Saccharomyces cerevisiae S288C: one gene and its partners. Changing the gene in region 4 together with the main gene of any one other region gives a genetic interaction. Each region holds a gene or a part of one and is shown on either strand. Other genes may lie near its edges.

Evidence for each region.
Region 1: mutations in UBP3 (region 4) and CKB1 together harm fitness more than expected from each alone (negative genetic interaction), as found in Saccharomyces cerevisiae (4 studies listed by BioGRID).
Region 2: mutations in UBP3 (region 4) and DST1 together harm fitness more than expected from each alone (negative genetic interaction), as found in Saccharomyces cerevisiae (6 studies listed by BioGRID, with this or other methods).
Region 3: mutations in UBP3 (region 4) and BUD14 together harm fitness more than expected from each alone (negative genetic interaction), as found in Saccharomyces cerevisiae (4 studies listed by BioGRID, with this or other methods).

Annotation. Positions count from the first base shown.
Region 1 is NC_001139.9:456,020-459,492, reverse strand, and holds CKB1 (casein kinase 2 regulatory subunit CKB1), read right to left. Parts: upstream 1,338-3,473; coding exon 501-1,337; downstream 1-500. Other genes in the region: J-type chaperone JAC1, read left to right, coding at 1-383; GET complex subunit GET1, read left to right, coding at 1,623-2,330; protein kinase ALK1, read right to left, coding at 2,426-3,473. UniProt on the Saccharomyces cerevisiae protein: Regulatory subunit of casein kinase II/CK2.
Region 2 is NC_001139.9:415,386-419,030, reverse strand, and holds DST1 (transcription elongation factor DST1), read right to left. Parts: upstream 1,549-3,645; coding exon 619-1,548; downstream 1-618. Other genes in the region: DPC13 (Dpc13p), read right to left, coding at 1-206; YGL041C-B (uncharacterized protein), read left to right, coding at 145-327; RNA15 (Rna15p), read left to right, coding at 1,995-2,885; RIM8 (Rim8p), read right to left, coding at 3,301-3,645. UniProt on the Saccharomyces cerevisiae protein: Necessary for efficient RNA polymerase II transcription elongation past template-encoded arresting sites.
Region 3 is NC_001133.9:165,936-170,905, forward strand, and holds BUD14 (protein phosphatase regulator BUD14), read right to left. Parts: upstream 2,937-4,970; coding exon 807-2,936; downstream 1-806. Other genes in the region: ADE1 (phosphoribosylaminoimidazolesuccinocarboxamide synthase), read left to right, coding at 3,440-4,360; serine/threonine protein kinase KIN3, read right to left, coding at 4,461-4,970. UniProt on the Saccharomyces cerevisiae protein: Important for bud site selection. Seems to be a regulatory subunit of the BUD14-GLC7 type-I phosphatase complex. The BUD14-GLC7 complex is necessary to regulate microtubule dynamics at the cortex and may function as a specific activator of the dynein complex.
Region 4 is NC_001137.3:468,877-474,618, forward strand, and holds UBP3 (mRNA-binding ubiquitin-specific protease UBP3), read right to left. Parts: upstream 3,549-5,742; coding exon 810-3,548; downstream 1-809. Other genes in the region: YER152C (2-aminoadipate transaminase), read right to left, coding at 3,781-5,112; PET122 (Pet122p), read right to left, coding at 5,165-5,742. UniProt on the Saccharomyces cerevisiae protein: Has an ATP-independent isopeptidase activity, cleaving at the C-terminus of the ubiquitin moiety in natural or engineered linear fusion proteins, irrespective of their size or the presence of an N-terminal extension to ubiquitin.

The DNA of each region.
Region 1 (3,473 bases), on a different chromosome or scaffold from region 4:
AGTCATCAACTCTTAATCAAGCTTACCATACTCTCAAAGATCCCCTTAGAAGGTCACAATATATGCTAAAACTCTTGCGCAATATCGATTTGACGCAAGAACAGACCTCAAATGAAGTAACTACCAGTGATCCACAGTTACTATTGAAAGTTCTAGACATCCATGATGAATTATCCCAGATGGACGACGAAGCTGGTGTGAAGCTGCTTGAAAAGCAAAACAAGGAAAGAATTCAAGATATTGAAGCCCAGTTGGGACAATGCTACAATGACAAGGATTACGCCGCCGCAGTGAAGTTGACCGTGGAGCTAAAGTACTGGTACAACTTGGCCAAGGCATTCAAAGACTGGGCTCCAGGAAAACAATTGGAAATGAATCACTAAAGTACTCCAAAGTGGTAATAGTAATAATAATAATAGTGGTGATATAAAAACTGAAACAATGTAAATAGGTAAAGTACATATGTATATGGTAGGGCAAAGAGGAAAATAAATCAAGGGTTAAACCGCCGGTGTCTCGAACTCGCATTTGGCAAATTCTTCCCAGTCCTCCTCCGTGGATGGATATTGTCTCAACCACTTCATTCTAGGACCAGATACTGCCTCATCATTTATCCTGAACCCAAAAACTTTCAACTCGTAGGACTCTTTACTTTTCCTTTCCACATACTCTTCCAATTCTTTGAAATGTTTCAAGAACACACCAGGGAAGCTTGTCCCCCAAAATGCACCTTCTAAGCACAGGAATCTAGATGATTGGGGAAGATACAAGTCCTGACAACTGGGACAGTACAACCTTACGGTGTGTTTCCCAACTGTATCGCTCAACCCACAAGGCAGCAACTGCATGCCATTACAATAGTAACGGGGGCACGTTCCAAATTCCTTGTGGTCGAATTTTTCAGCCATTGCTTGCAGGCCTGGCTTGGTCAGAATAAATCTTGCATGTATCAATCCGTATAACTGTTCTGCTGCGTGCTCGATAATACTCTTGTTCACCACTGGCGACTTGTTTCTCCTTTTGCCTTCATCATGACCGTCATTACTCTGCATCTCTTGATCCACTTCGTCTTCTTCCACCACGTCGTCTTCGTCCTCTTCTTCATCACTCATAGCCTCCAAATCCAATATCAAATCCAGAGCTTTCCGGTAGTGGGGTACCTCTTGGGATAACGAGGTCATATTGAAATCATCCTCGATAAACTCTGTCGGGACTTGGCAGAAGTACTCGTGACCAAATCTGGAACAGAACGATGGAATCCACTCGTCATAAGCTCCACTATCCTCGTCGTCTGAGGACCCTGTACGTGAATAGTCTTCCACAAACTCTTGCGACATAGTTTTCTCTCTCTTTTAGCTAATGGTCGCTTCTAAATACCAATTCACCAATTTACAGATTCGGATTAACGTCACTATCGTGTTTTGCACGTACCAACTACCTCCTGTTTTTGTCATTAGACACTTACCAGTTGATGTTTTCACTTTTTCTTTCCTTCCCAAGAGTGAAAAAAAATCACAGAGTAGTGGTATATACAACAATACCTCGGGATAAAAAGACCAGATAAAAGAAAGCAGGACAGTTTGCAATCCTTGAACTACGTCTAGTTGATTGAAATAGGAGAAATGCATTGGGCAGCAGCGGTAGCGATATTCTTTATTGTGGTCACAAAGTTTCTACAGTATACAAACAAATACCACGAGAAATGGATCTCTAAATTTGCACCAGGAAATGAATTATCCAAAAAATACTTAGCCAAGGTCAAAGAACGTCACGAATTAAAAGAATTCAACAACTCTATCTCCGCGCAGGATAATTATGCCAAATGGACTAAGAACAATAGAAAATTGGACTCGTTAGATAAAGAAATAAATAACTTGAAGGACGAAATACAATCAGAAAATAAAGCCTTTCAGGCCCATCTTCACAAACTCAGGTTATTGGCATTGACGGTGCCATTTTTTGTGTTTAAGATTATGTACGGCAAGACACCAGTTTACAAGTTGAGTTCCTCGACTAGCACCTTGTTCCCTACGTTTGTAAGTGGTGTTTGGTCTCAAGGCTGGTTATATGTTCTCTTGCATCCTCTAAGGACTATTTCTCAGAAATGGCATATAATGGAGGGCAAATTTGGTGCTTCCAAGTTTGATGATATGGCTTTACAGAGTGTCTCTTTGGGAATCTGGGTTTGGGCATTGATGAATGTCATCAACGGCGTGGAATTTATCGTTAAGCAATTGTTTTTGACTCCCAAAATGGAAGCACCTGCATCTGTGGAGACTCAAGAGGAGAAAGCCTTGGATGCTGTCGACGATGCCATTATTTTAGATTAGTGTTATTACATTATGTACGTATATATAATATGTTTATGTATTGGAGTATACAATAGAAAGAAAATGAAATATAAATGTCAACATTCCTATTTGTTTTATTTATAAAGTTTTAGTAAATCTCCAGTATTCTTAATGTCCTCCGTCTCCAATCTTTTGAATAACTGCCCCCCTCTTTTATGAACTGCCAAGTTCATTTCCAAATGGTTTATCACCCTTGCCATTTTATCCCTGTTTGCATCATTCTTACCAAGCTTCCTGTCACCAAACTTTAGTAAAACGCGTGACAGGTAATATAACCAATACAAATTTGTCATGGGCTCAAAAGCTGACGCGTCCATGTTCAACAAGATCCGCATACTTTGATAGATTTCAAACTCAAATTGATACTGGTATTCGTTTATTTTACTCTTGTCTTTCCCATTTAGAAAAAAGAGTGGATGATCTAGCCGTAGATATAAAACATCATCTTGAGGAGTTTGCAATCTACTGCATTTAAAATCAATAATTGTTATATTCCCATTACCATCTATCAAAATATTATCCAAAGTAAGATTACGATGTTCAAATTTCAAATTTTTTTCCAACCCATGAATTATACCAGCACAAGACCAAAAAATCTTTAGAATCTGCTTCCAGTTTTTCAGTGAGATTAACGAAATTGGGGTACCGTGATCTTTGAATAGTAAGTACAAATACAACCCCCCATTTGCCTCTTTAACAACAAAACTTTTCAATAGTTGCGGTATGCCATCAAATTTTTGTTGCATGATTTTGAGTTTTTCCAGTTCCTGCAAAGATAAGAACTTTCTATCCCATGTAATGTCATCAATAGTACCGAGAGAAACTTTTTTACAGATTACTTCACCAATTTGCCAAACATTTGATGTTAATTGTATTGATGACAAATGGTTTACATCGTTGATTAAAGGCAATACATCTCCTTTTGCGGGGTTTAAAATTCTCTTTATATCACAATTTAGTAAAATCTGTCTTAGAAGTGTCTCATCATGATCATTTTTGTTCATCGGTAAAGATGATTTAGAATTTAATGAGAGTAATGAGGTCGAATATCTTAATTTGTTCTGAATTTTATCACGGGAAACTTGGTCCGGTACAGGTAACGATATTCGGTGACTCAACGTA
Region 2 (3,645 bases), on a different chromosome or scaffold from region 4:
TTTATTTGATCCATGAGTTTCTGCACCTTTATGTGTGCATCTATTTTGTCATTAGGCTGTCTGTCGTCCCAAGATTGAGCGTAAAATCTTCTCGGAGAAATCCAGGAAAGCCTCCTTAAACTCCTGGTGTGATTAGTGGTAGAAATGTTCGATAGTTCTATCGAACGAGTGACTCTGGAACTATGCTTCCATATAACTCTTAGCATTATGTGTGGCTGTAGTATCTACTTTCTGCTTCTTGTGTTTATTCTAACTTTTTATTCGTCGGTTTTGTTACATCTTAAATTGTATTTCTTTAGTTCTGACCGAGCCATATTTAATGCATAGAAGATTAATAAAGAAAACATGAAAATCATAAATAATTAAAAGTAACTGGACGAACAAAAGATTTTACGTGAGACAGACAAAAAAAATTAACACCAGCAGTATATGTATATATGTACATCGTATATGAATATGCCATTTCAACAAATTGGATATGGTTGTATGTTTGGCTTTTTCTTTTCCTGGATTCCGGCTGTCAAATACTACTACGAATAGAGTCAGAACAGGCTTTTCTGTCCCTTCCTCCTATTGTTTCCTTTGCTCTGTCCGTGGCTACTCTCATCTTTTTCTATTCTAAGAGAATTTCCATCTGTTACCACATGCTTCACATGTACAGAAAGTGGTCAATGGTTCATCCGCAGATCTTGTTTGCAATTGATAGTAAGATACCTTCTTCTCTTTACATTTACCACATGTAAATCTATCGGTGACTGACCTTTCTATGGTGGCACCCTGTGCGTTGTATAAGTTTTGCTTGGCAATTTCTTCTATCTTTTGCTTTAAGGGCGCTGGTGCCAGATCCTTGGCATCGCATGTAGCTAAGAATTCAGGTGTTATATCACCGTTGGCAATTTTATGTTTGAGATCTGGGTTATTCTTTGATATGACGTTTGAATAAATTATACGATACCTGGCTTTGTAAGCGGCTTCGTTGGTGTCACAGTTGTTAACTTTATTCATTTCACTTTCTATGGCCTTTGCAGTATGCAAAATAGATTGAGGTGGATGCTCACTTTCCTTGGCCAAAACGTCGTAGAGTGCTTTTAGTACCTGATCACGTAATTTGTGGTGGTATATAGCTGTATCCACACCATCGTTCTTACTATTTCTTGGTTTAGTGCTGACGTACTTGTCTTGTTTCATGGCATCTGACTGGGAGGAGGCCGGCTGTTGAACACCATTCACGGACTCACCTACAGTTGTCTTGTCCTCTGCATTGCCTGGCGCATGATCTTGATGATGCTGCTGTGCTTGCCTGGAACGCTTATTTTTATTAATTGCGTCTTTCCAAGAGCTAATCATTTTCTTCACGAGTTTGCTGATCTCTACATTAGTGGATTTTTTAAACTTGTTGACTTCCACACCAACTTTTGTTTCTCTCAGTAACTTTTCAGTGGGGACGAATTCTTTATCCAAGACATGTAAGATTTCTAGAACTGCAGCATCATTACTTTTGTTCTTTTCTAGATTCTTAACATGTACCAGTACTTCCTTACTATCCATGATGAATGCTCTTATGCGGACTGACTACACTGTGAATGTTCTGCTGCTTGAGTAATTTTTCATTCAATATTTTTCAATACGTAGTCCCATCATCGAGTGATCACTTGGTCATATCAGCACAGTGGGGCGGGTAAGAGTTGAAAATTTCCCTATAATGAAATTGGATATTATATATCAAAAAGGCGTTGTCATTCGAAGCATCGTTTCAAAAGAAGGTCCGTAAAGTTAAGGTGGGCTAGTGAAGTATCTCATAATTGTTACAATCACCATAAGAGAAATCTTGCGTTTAGAATTTCCTAAGAGAACCGAGTCACTTCTAGCACTTGCTTTAAACAGAAACACTTGTAATAATTGTTAGAGGGATATACAAGAAAGGCTATATACCAATAGCATCACATAGACACGTTAATTATCAATACATTGAAAGAAAAGACGAAAACGATAAAATGAATAGGCAGAGCGGTGTGAATGCGGGGGTACAGAACAACCCACCATCCCGAGTGGTGTATCTGGGTTCTATACCATACGATCAAACAGAGGAGCAGATACTTGATTTATGTAGTAATGTTGGGCCCGTGATCAATTTGAAAATGATGTTCGACCCCCAAACTGGTAGGTCGAAAGGGTACGCGTTTATTGAATTTAGAGATTTAGAGTCCAGTGCCAGCGCAGTACGTAATTTGAATGGATACCAATTAGGCTCTAGGTTTTTGAAATGCGGTTACTCCAGCAATAGTGATATATCGGGAGTTTCACAACAGCAACAACAACAGTACAACAACATTAATGGGAACAATAACAACAATGGAAATAATAATAATAATAGTAATGGGCCGGACTTTCAAAACAGCGGAAATGCCAATTTTCTAAGTCAAAAGTTTCCAGAATTGCCCTCTGGTATCGACGTTAACATAAACATGACCACCCCTGCTATGATGATATCGAGCGAACTAGCTAAAAAACCGAAAGAGGTGCAGTTGAAATTTTTACAAAAATTCCAAGAATGGACAAGAGCGCATCCTGAAGATGCTGTTTCGCTATTAGAGCTGTGTCCACAGTTGAGTTTTGTTACGGCTGAATTATTGCTAACGAATGGGATATGTAAAGTGGATGATTTGATCCCGTTAGCTTCCAGGCCGCAAGAAGAGGCATCGGCTACGAATAACAATAGCGTGAACGAGGTGGTGGATCCAGCTGTGCTTAACAAACAGAAAGAACTACTGAAACAGGTGTTACAACTGAATGACAGTCAAATTTCTATCTTGCCCGATGATGAAAGGATGGCTATTTGGGACTTAAAACAAAAAGCATTAAGGGGAGAATTTGGTGCATTTTGAAACTAGGGAGGCAAAAATACAAAAAAAAAATGCGGTTCCGCAATGATGAGGCAACAATCTATCATATTTTCCACGTGAGGGAGCTCAAAGTTCGGTATATAGCTTACATCTCAATATCACAATCACTTTTTTTTTTGACGTCTTTATAAATATAGAATAACGTTTACGTTACTGCTATTTTTTCGTTTCTTATCTCAGTTTGCCTGAGGACGGCTATAGTTTTAATCATTAAACGTATATTAAGTACACATGAACATATATAAATCTCAGGTTTGTGCATGCTTCGATTTTTTTTTTCTATGTTAATGTCATGGATCATTACGTGGCTGGGATAGTGGAAATATGCAAACATGATTAAGGCGCCTAGTTCCAACACGGCGCAAGCTGCGAGTATATGACTTGTTACCTGCACTTTTTAATAGTCATCACAAGGGGGAGGATCGCTTTCTAACTGTTGTAGTCTTTTTTGTTCAAGTTCTTGTTTGTCTTCCGACGGTACACTGACTTTATCATTTGGCGAATACTTTGGAACTGGAACATCGTCACTATCATATGCATTTAATGGGGCCAACCAATCTCTTAAATTCGATGGAGAATTTTGAGGAGCCGTGATTGAGGATTGGGATGGGATGCTTGCATCAGATTGCTGCTGTTCGGATCTCGTCGTTCCTATGACGGTTTCTATGGACATACCAGTTACATTCCTCAGTCTCTTTAGCTTTTCCACATTTACCATATCTTTGAAAAATATACTGGATTC
Region 3 (4,970 bases), on a different chromosome or scaffold from region 4:
TCAAAATGGAATCTATATTTCTACATACTAATATTACGATTATTCCTCATTCCGTTTTATATGTTTATATTCATTGATCCTATTACATTATCAATCCTTGCGTTTCAGCTTCCACTAATTTAGATGACTATTTCTCATCATTTGCGTCATCTTCTAACACCGTATATGATAATATACTAGTAATGTAAATACTAGTTAGTAGATGATAGTTGATTTCTATTCCAACAGGTTCTTATTTTCAACAATGTAATTGATGGCCTTAAATCTCTACTACATCATAAAGCTTCTAAGCACTTACCATTCCTTCATAAGTCTAGTATTGTAATGAGTTGGGCACATGGCGCAGTTGGTAGCGCGCTTCCCTTGCAAGGAAGAGGTCATCGGTTCGATTCCGGTTGCGTCCAAATTTTTTTGTTAATCCAACACAATTGAATTCGTGAATAGCTGACTGTCATCAGTAATGTTCGTGGAAAGTACCTATCCATACTGTTGTATCACGACTAAGTAGTTGTCGACTACTACCTCCTCAACCCCAGTTATATCCCTATGACACATTGGAGGATGCTGAATAATGACAGAATTTTATTCCTCCTTTTCATTATCATAATCTGAAGCAAAGTTAAAAAATAGAAGAAGTAAGATAAACTTTGTAGATACGATATATAGTTGTTTGTTTTAGCTATCATATATGCTGAACTGTTACTACCTTATTTTTTCCGAAATGTTTCTAAAACAAATAAATATTCATGAATATGATGCAAGTTCGTTGGATGAGAAAAAGACCAGGCTTTATTGTAAGGACAATATCATTTACGAATAATTTCATCCAATTGTTTCATCAACACATCCATTCTGTCAAAAACTGGAGCATAGAGATGTTGAACCAAAGAATTGGGCTTCGAAGCCGGATCGGACATATTGGTATTAGACAATGCCCTTGATCCGGAAAGTGAACTATTTATGCTTGCTGATGATACCGCCCTTTGTTCATCCATATAAAAATCTTCTTCAGATGATGAGTGTAACGATAAGGTTGATTGCTTTTCTTCTTCGGGGGTACTGTGATGTTTTTCTAGCTCCTCTTTAGGTTGTTCTGCGTCAGTTTGATTTGCCATTCCTCCACTAGACCCCAAGCTGGCTTGAATTTGCCCCTCTGTGTTTTCCACGTTTGTTGTCTCTTCAATTTTCGATTTTGCATGAATATATTGTGAAATGTCCTTTATTGCTCTAGATGATGGAATACTGCTGCTTTCTTCAACTATTGGAGTGGATGGTGATTCGTTTGTCCATTCTGACGACGACGGTGAAAACTCGCCAATTGTTGAAAGGGAATTTTGAGAGTCTGATTTTGCCATACCATTCGCAAATGGCATACGAGGCGCTTCAAATACTTTTTTCAGATCGGTATCGTAATCACTGTCAACCGGTTCAGACTTTTCTTGCCCCACATACCGATTTGCATTATAATCATCTTCTCTGTCTTTACTCGATGATGTCTTAGGCTCACTTTCGTTTTTGTTGTCTTGTCTCCGAACTTTTTTCACATTTAGTGGTGTATTCAAAGATGTACTAAAGGAGACGTCGCTCACTACATCGCTCGTATCATCATCCTGGAATTTGCCAAAATTTAACTTCGCTTCAGTGTATTCGTCCCGGTGCGTTACTTTTGTTTCCTTGTCGTTATCAACATCATCGTCGTACGACTGTCCATTGCCTTCACCGCCATCATCGTTACTATCTAACGAGGTATCTTCAATTGCATCATCTATAAACCTGTCTGCATAACCGACAACATCATTGAAACTAACAGATTTGTTCCCCTTACCATATCCATTCAGTGCAGGTGTCGGAATTATACTCTCTGCATCACTTTGATTCTTGTTACCAGAGCTGATGGAATCATCTTTCGAATCGGAGGAAGCAACCGATTGAGAAGACATGTTTTCATTTTTCCAGCAATTCAATCGAGCTAGTCTTTCTGGAAAGGTTTCTAGAATTTCCGCTGGCGCAAACCCGATTTTACCATCAGTGATCCTCTTAACCAGCCACCAATAGGCATCCTGGTCATTCAAAAGTATACAAGGTTCGTCTTGCCCTAATTGACAATGTGAAGAATCATGGCCATTGAACGCATATAAAGCATATAGTTTATCAGGGTCCAGTTCTCTTGGCGGCGATAAGGGTTGGTAATCGTCGTTTTCCTCCTCCAAATCGTCTTTCTCCCCTTGAAACCCTGAATCTTGAAATTTTCTGTCAAAGTCATCGTCATCAGAGTAGTTTTCCTCTTCATCCTCGTCCTCCGAGATGGCGTATTTCAAGCCATCACTAAAATCGTCAACGTCAGGGTTCATTGTATTATTCACTGAAAAATGCACCTCATCCTTATCGGCGCTATCCACGGAATCAGTTTCGATCTCTTGTAGCCTTCTTTCCAAATTGTCCTCAAATTCAGAATCCGAATAATCATATGAGTCGGGCAATTCCGAAGAATTTTCTTTGTAATGTCGCTGATCCCTTTTACTGTTGCTATGCATATGTTTTTCCACGTTCTCCTCCTCTAACTCTTTGTCATCATCTCTATTTCGCAGAACATCATGGCCCTTTTCTGCCGCATTACTCAGTATATTAAGTTTCGAATTGAAGGGCGAACTCTTATTCGAAGTCGGAGTCACCACAACACTTCCGCCCATACTCTCCGAATCCTCGTTTCCTAAAGTAAGTTTACTTCCACTTGTAGGCCTATTATTAATGATATCTGAATAATCCTCTATTAGGGTTGGATCATTCAGTAGCGCGTGCGATTGAAAGGAGTCCATGCCCGACGTCGACGTGATTAGCGAAGGCGCGTAACCATTGTCATGTCTAGCAGCTATAGAACTAACCTCCTTGACACCACTTGCGGAAGTCTCATCAACATGCTCTTCCTTATTACTCATTCTCTTACCAAGCAGAGAATGTTATCTAAAAACTACGTGTATTTCACCTCTTTCTCGACTTGAACACGTCCAACTCCTTAAGTACTACCACAGCCAGGAAAGAATGGATCCAGTTCTACACGATAGCAAAGCAGAAAACACAACCAGCGTACCCCTGTAGAAGCTTCTTTGTTTACAGCACTTGATCCATGTAGCCATACTCGAAATTTCAACTCATCTGAAACTTTTCCTGAAGGTTGAAAAAGAATGCCATAAGGGTCACCCGAAGCTTATTCACGAGTCAGTCTGACTCTTGCGAGAGATGAGGATGTAATAATACTAATCTCGAAGATGCCATCTAATACATATAGACATACATATATATATATATACATTCTATATATTCTTACCCAGATTCTTTGAGGTAAGACGGTTGGGTTTTATCTTTTGCAGTTGGTACTATTAAGAACAATCGAATCATAAGCATTGCTTACAAAGAATACACATACGAAATATTAACGATAATGTCAATTACGAAGACTGAACTGGACGGTATATTGCCATTGGTGGCCAGAGGTAAAGTTAGAGACATATATGAGGTAGACGCTGGTACGTTGCTGTTTGTTGCTACGGATCGTATCTCTGCATATGACGTTATTATGGAAAACAGCATTCCTGAAAAGGGGATCCTATTGACCAAACTGTCAGAGTTCTGGTTCAAGTTCCTGTCCAACGATGTTCGTAATCATTTGGTCGACATCGCCCCAGGTAAGACTATTTTCGATTATCTACCTGCAAAATTGAGCGAACCAAAGTACAAAACGCAACTAGAAGACCGCTCTCTATTGGTTCACAAACATAAACTAATTCCATTGGAAGTAATTGTCAGAGGCTACATCACCGGATCTGCTTGGAAAGAGTACGTAAAAACAGGTACTGTGCATGGTTTGAAACAACCTCAAGGACTTAAAGAATCTCAAGAGTTCCCAGAACCAATCTTCACCCCATCGACCAAGGCTGAACAAGGTGAACATGACGAAAACATCTCTCCTGCCCAGGCCGCTGAGCTGGTGGGTGAAGATTTGTCACGTAGAGTGGCAGAACTGGCTGTAAAACTGTACTCCAAGTGCAAAGATTATGCTAAGGAGAAGGGCATCATCATCGCAGACACTAAATTCGAATTCGGTATTGACGAAAAGACCAATGAAATTATTCTAGTGGACGAGGTGCTAACGCCAGACTCCTCTAGATTCTGGAACGGTGCCTCTTATAAGGTAGGAGAATCCCAAGATTCTTACGATAAGCAATTTTTAAGAGACTGGCTTACTGCTAATAAGTTGAACGGTGTTAACGGCGTCAAAATGCCCCAAGACATTGTCGACAGGACAAGGGCCAAATATATAGAGGCTTATGAAACATTGACAGGGTCTAAATGGTCTCACTAACGTGATTTACATATACTACAAGTCGCCAGTGTAACTCCTCACTGAATATGATTCATACATACCCGTATGTATTAATGTATAAATGTTCTCAGAGCAAATTTTATCGATATCTTGTTTGCCAGTGGTATGCAGGTTTGGCAAATTTTTTACCATAATATCCGTTTATAGATTCTGGAACCTTACCAACTTTCTTACCGCTAATTACTTCCCTGGCTCGCTCCTCCACTGCCTGGGTAAATTGTTCCTTCAACTGACTCAGTTCTCTTTCGTATTCAATAGCTTGCTTCTCGAGGATTTTTTCAATGTTTGTCAGCTCATTTTCATAGTCCAGTAACTTCCTTTCAAATCTCTCTAATTGCAACGACTTTCTTGCAGTTCGTATCTGAATATCTTGCAGTAATTCAAAAGTGGAAGGCCTGGTTCTTAAGTTCACATCTATCATTGAATGTATTATGGCATTAAGCCCTCTAGAGTAATACTCAGGGACGGTGTCACATTTCCCGTTTTTAATCTTAGTTTGTAGCTCGAGATAATTTTTTGCCTGAAATGGGGGGTGCAACGAACACATCTCAAAAATAACACAACCTAGTGACCAGATGTCGGATAGTGG
Region 4 (5,742 bases):
TATTCTTCGATGTAGTCGTTATAGTTCTTTTTCTTCAAATCATTTAAATAAAGAAACTATTTTTTCTTTTTGTGTGTAGAATAATAAATGTAATTCTAGTTCTTCCTTTTTTTTTTTGGCTTTTTCACAGCTCATCTTTTTTACCCATTTGGTCATGATTATGTTGTTTGCCGTTGTGCAATAGGGAGTTTGTAAATCCTGAGATAAAGTATGGTGCTTCGAGGTTAGCACTTAATTGGCGTAAGCTGCTTAATGACAAAACCCTCCTTGGGCTTGGCGTATACGAAATATGCTCCTGCGAAGCGCAGTGGCAATATTGAGCACTATGTTAACGATAACGTGTTGGACTCATCGTCTGTGCACATATGATTGAAATCGGGAATCCTCTGCTTTTTTTAGGTAAAATCAAACTTTGGCTAAATTTGGATGATTACTTAAAGTAAGAAATGAATCTTAAGAGATGTATGAGTTTTGTGATAATTGTTGTGATTCCATTGTTGCCAAAGGCCATAATATTTTGAAATTCACATTCCTTCTACAAGGTATTTGTTTCTTAAATGTTCATCTCCAAGAAATAATTGGTTTCGTGGTCTAGTCGGTTATGGCATCTGCTTAACACGCAGAACGTCCCCAGTTCGATCCTGGGCGAAATCATTTTTTAAATATGCCAAGCATAAAGTGTAACTCTGTTTCTCTGTCTGTCTCTATTTCTTTTTTAAAATCGTGCTCACTATCGTATTGTATTGTATTGTATTGTATTATTGCTATATTATTTTTTATGTATTTTGTCTATAATACCACCCCCCGTCTTAATTTCTCTTTTGATACATTAAAATATAGGCAGTCCTCGAATCAGAAGCTTCTTCGCCACCTTTCAAAACGTCATCGTCCTCTAGTTCGGTAATATTTACATCATCTATTCTATACCATTTGTTGTGCTCGCTATGATAAACATCCGCTGTGTAATGACCGCCATCGGAACTTACCCCATGATGGTATATAACTCCGGTTAGCTTATATCTTCTATCATCAATCCCTGAGGTGTTGTTTTTCAATGTTATGGAAGACATTGATTCTTCAGGTATGATTAACTCGTGACCATATTTAATTTTTTTCCTGATCTTCTCAATACGTCCATTGTACGCGTTATAGTTCGTCATTGCGTTGTCTTTGTTCACATTATTTATGAATGAGAATCTTTTGAATTGGATTAAAAGAACTTGCGGCAATTTATCAATAAAAGTCTGCTTCTTGGCCTCGACATCATTCCCTGACGAGGACTTAAAGGGTAGCAATTCGTATTCACTAAATTTTTTGAATGCAGTTTCTAGATCATTCACACCAGCATCTGAAATGTCCAATTGAATTGTTTGGAACGGATCGAGTGTAATCGATTGAGATTCCTTATTGTTCGGTATATCTAACACAGATCTGAACTGGCCACCGAAAAGTTTGGAGATTGGTGATGGAACAATCTCGACAGTCCTCTTGGCAGCGGTCTTAGTTTTCTTGCCTCTTTTGCTAGATCCGCTCACTTCATGCCAACCATTTTCTTCGGTAGAGTCATCATTGATCACGCCATATTTTTCTATCAACTCCTTCAGTCTAGGACTAGCATTTTTGATAAACTCTGCTTTTCCATAACGTGACAAATTTCTAATAAAGAAAACTTTCAATTGTTCATCATTAATACTTTGCAGCATATTTTGAATTTCATTATCGGTTAAGCCATCAATTGCAGAAATTAATTCCTCGTGTAATTGGTCCAATAAGTGGGTCAAAAATTCTTCTGCGTCTTCCTGATGGCCCCATTGCAAGTCTTTGAACTTCGGTATAGTAGACAAAGTTTTGTAAAATTCGTCAGGTTTGACAGCATCGGCAGTGGCGCAGTGTTGGAAACTCTTGGATTTTGATGATTTTTTTGCATCACTTTCCGTGGTTTTTTCAGCATCATCAGCATTCTCTAGGAATTTTTTCTCATAGGTTTCCTTATCGAATTGCTTATACATAGTCAAACAAGCATCTAATAATTTACAGGATGATGTGCCGACTCTTGAATTGGTATTCCGTGTACTGAGAACGTTAATTACATCAATAAATGGCTTACAGTAGAGTAACACTTGTAACACAGAACTCATAAAACAAATGTTGGCTCTGTTAATTATGCCTCTTGGAATAATGGAATGGACTGGTATTTTGTTTTCAACATCTTTATTCCGTAAAACGTAACTAATGAAATCGGGATCAAAACACATTCTTAACGCAATCGAACCCAGTGGCTCAATACCCTTTGTAGAAGGTGGAACGTATTTTTTATCCTTTTTCTGAGGCTGCTTGGACAACAGGGGAGAGCTGGATTTACCTATAGTCGCCGCAGCCATGTTTGTTGATGAAACGCCTGCGGTCGTACCAGAAATTGGTGTTTTAGTGACCATCGATCCGGAGACTGTTTTGTTACTAGCTTGTCTACTTTTAATCGCATCTGATGCTATGGCGGACCAGGATTTTGCTGCTGGAGGAGATGGTGAAGGTGAAGATGTCTTGGAAGTATTTTCTTCAACAGATTCCTCTGGTTCCTTCTTATCCACTACAGGTAAAACAGTAGCTTGAGGTTCCTGTATAACTTTTTCGTTACGGTCTTGCTTAGCATCCTCTTTCTTTACTTCAGTTTTCTTTTTAAGCTCGTGCGCATCTTTGCTCGCATGTGGTTTTTTATCATGAGCATCTTCTTCTTCCCCATGTGTTTCTGTCTTTACTTCCTCATTATGCTTTGGTATACTATGGCTTTTTGTGTGATGATGGGCAGAGCTCTTTTCTACAGATGAGTTCTCTAAGCTTTCAGAGTTTAGGTTCAAAGCCTTCATGTTTAATTCGTACCTTTGGACACTTGCCGCAGCAAATTCTGCTTCCGTAGTGTTTATGAACAGTGGCAATTGAATCAAGTTTGATGAATTTTCCTTGAGATTCTTTAATTTAGTGACATCAAACTTGTATAAATCATACTGTGAAGAAGAGTTGTAGGAAGAGTACGATGGTGAAGTAGCCGAAGAACCGTTGCCGTTGGAAGAGTTGGTCTGTTTTTTCATGCCCGCATTGCTGCCACTGTTTGGAGAGGCCATCATGGGGATATGATTGTTAGAGTAATTGTGATGGTAGGTGTGGGATTTGTTGTAGCTCATGCCGCTACCGCTAGAGTTGGCGCCTTGATTACCGCTGCTTCCATTGTTATTGGTAATGCCATTAGAGTGCCACTTCTTCTTGTTAATGTTGTTGTTATTGGTAGTGCTTCCGCCGTTAATATTGTTTTGCGGAGGCAAGTGATGTGGGCTGCCACTTTGATGGTAGATTGGCTGGTTTTGGTTGACCATATTAAACGAATAGGCAGGTATTTGTGTGGGGTATAGATATGGGGCCTGAGTGTAGCCGTACATCTGCAAAGGCGCTTGATAAATAGGAATCTGCATATTGGTTGGCGTAGGTGGTGGTGGAGAAGAGGTTTTCGGGTACATCGAGTACGACTCTTCTTTGTTAGCGTCTTGCATGTTCATTTTTTTTAATGATGATGGAAAGGAAAGCGGTACCTGGATGATGGTAGCAGACGAGTCTGACTTACTATTAAAATGACTTTCTTCTCTAGAAACACTTCTCTTCCCTTTCGCTTTTTCGCTGCTTGTTTGTTTTATCACATTATATTTTTTTCCTTCTTTTTCTTTTTCTTCCTTGCCTTTGCCCGTAGAAAAATTACCCTCTTATTACCGTTCACCTATATACGTATTCCTTCTACATAGTTATGTTATTGGTGATCGCATGAGATTTGCAAACAGCACCAAACAGCTCAATGCCCCTGTCGATATCATCAACTTCTAAGAAACTAATAGAAAGCCTAAAGCATGACTGACCCCAGTTTTTCTCATCGCCGATGACCTCGAAATTGGAGCCGTCGGCAAGGATGACATTAAATTTCTTGGCAAGAATAGTGGATATCTCCATGGCATTGTACGCTGGTGGGAGAGTGATCCAAGTAAAATAGCCGCCCTTCAATGGCATAATCTCGGTTCCTAGGGGCATGTATTTCTTAAGCGCCGAGGTCAAGACAGTGGCCCTCTCGGAGTATACGGATCTCAGATGTGCAATGCATCTCTGGGCGGCACCACTACGCAGCATCTCACCCACGATCATGGAGTTCAGTTGTGAGGGAGTTCCGCCAGAGACGTTTGCACCACCTTTAGATAGCTGTCTGGCGAGATTCGCGTTGATTGACTCATGGTATCCAAATCTGAGCCCAGGGGCGATCAGCTTGGAGAAAGTTGCGTTGGACACTGTATTCCCGAACGAGTCCTCACCGGAGGGCGCTGTACTTCTGTCTATGTGCACCATCCTTAGGGGCGGAGAGGGCAGCTCATCTGAGGGCGTCGTGTAATCTAGAATATCGTACACGTCATCAGTGATTATCAGCATGTCGTACTTCCGAGCGATGTCGATAAGTCTGCGTCTGGTCTCAAGCGAGTATGTGTTTCCCGATGGGTTTGCAAACGTCGGGATGCAGTACATAACGTACCTGTAGACCTTCTTGGTCAACTTTGGCCCCTGAATCATCTCTGTGGTACTATGGGGCTGCGGCTCCGCCTCGTGCTGCTCAAGGGCAGAAATCAACGACTCGAAATCAATCGAGTCGTGGCCCTGCTCGTTGATGGCGGTCATTTTCCCCTTGAATCCCGCATCTGTGAAGCAATTGTTGATCAAGAAATATGTTGGCGTGATGATGAACGCCTGCCTGGTATACCCGTTATGTGGCAAGGTTGTTTGCAGAAGGATGTTCAGCATGCCATACGAAGCGCCGCTATTCAGATTCAAATAGTCTGCCCGTGTCCTGCTCCGAGCCCCATTTTCGAACTTAAACAGCTGATCATTCAGAAACGTACAAATCTGCTCTCGCACCCACAGGGCACCTTCGTCCGAACCGTACGTCAGCGGATGCCTGTTATAGGGGTCGTTATCGTACTCCCTGGTCTCGGGCCCCAATATAGCCGCAGTCGCTTGAATTACTGCTTCTCGAGGCAGCAACCTCGAGCTCGGATGGCCCTTGAAGAAATTGATTTCCTTGTATTTCATTACCGCTTGCTAGCACGCGTTGTTCCTTGTTACAGCGATGCTCCACCCAGATTTATGTGTTGATTTCAAATCCTCTTCTCTTTATCACTAGTTCGGCATCCAGCAGCGGCAGCCCGCGATAACTTTGACGGAACTCCGCCAGCACACGTCGCGCCTGCGCTGGGCCGGGAACATGCCAAAGGACACCAGCCAGTAGTAGCGGTAGTGACCATTCGTTCTTTATCACTAGGGGCTGTCGTCCAAACAACGCCAGGGCAGCTGCTTGCTCATCTTGCTGCATCAATGCTATGCCCATAGCCTTGGTCATTTGCGGGAAGTCGCGCAGCCTTAATGGCGGCTGCCCTGGTAGCGTATCCATCTCCTGCAAGAATACCTTCCACTTTTCCCTGAGCGCCGTGGAGTGCATTGTGCCACGCGCAAACGCTTCGACTTTAATCCGTCTAAGCTCATACTCAATCAGTTCATCTTCTGGGCTGGTGCGACGATCGCGATTCATCGCCTGGTAGTGCTGGAGGAACTGCGCGGGTAAGAAGAGCCTGTCCTGGTACAATGCTACGCCAGCCATTTCACATAGCAGGCGGCCCTCTACTGGCAACCGGCGTGGCATCACATGCTGATACCACATGTATG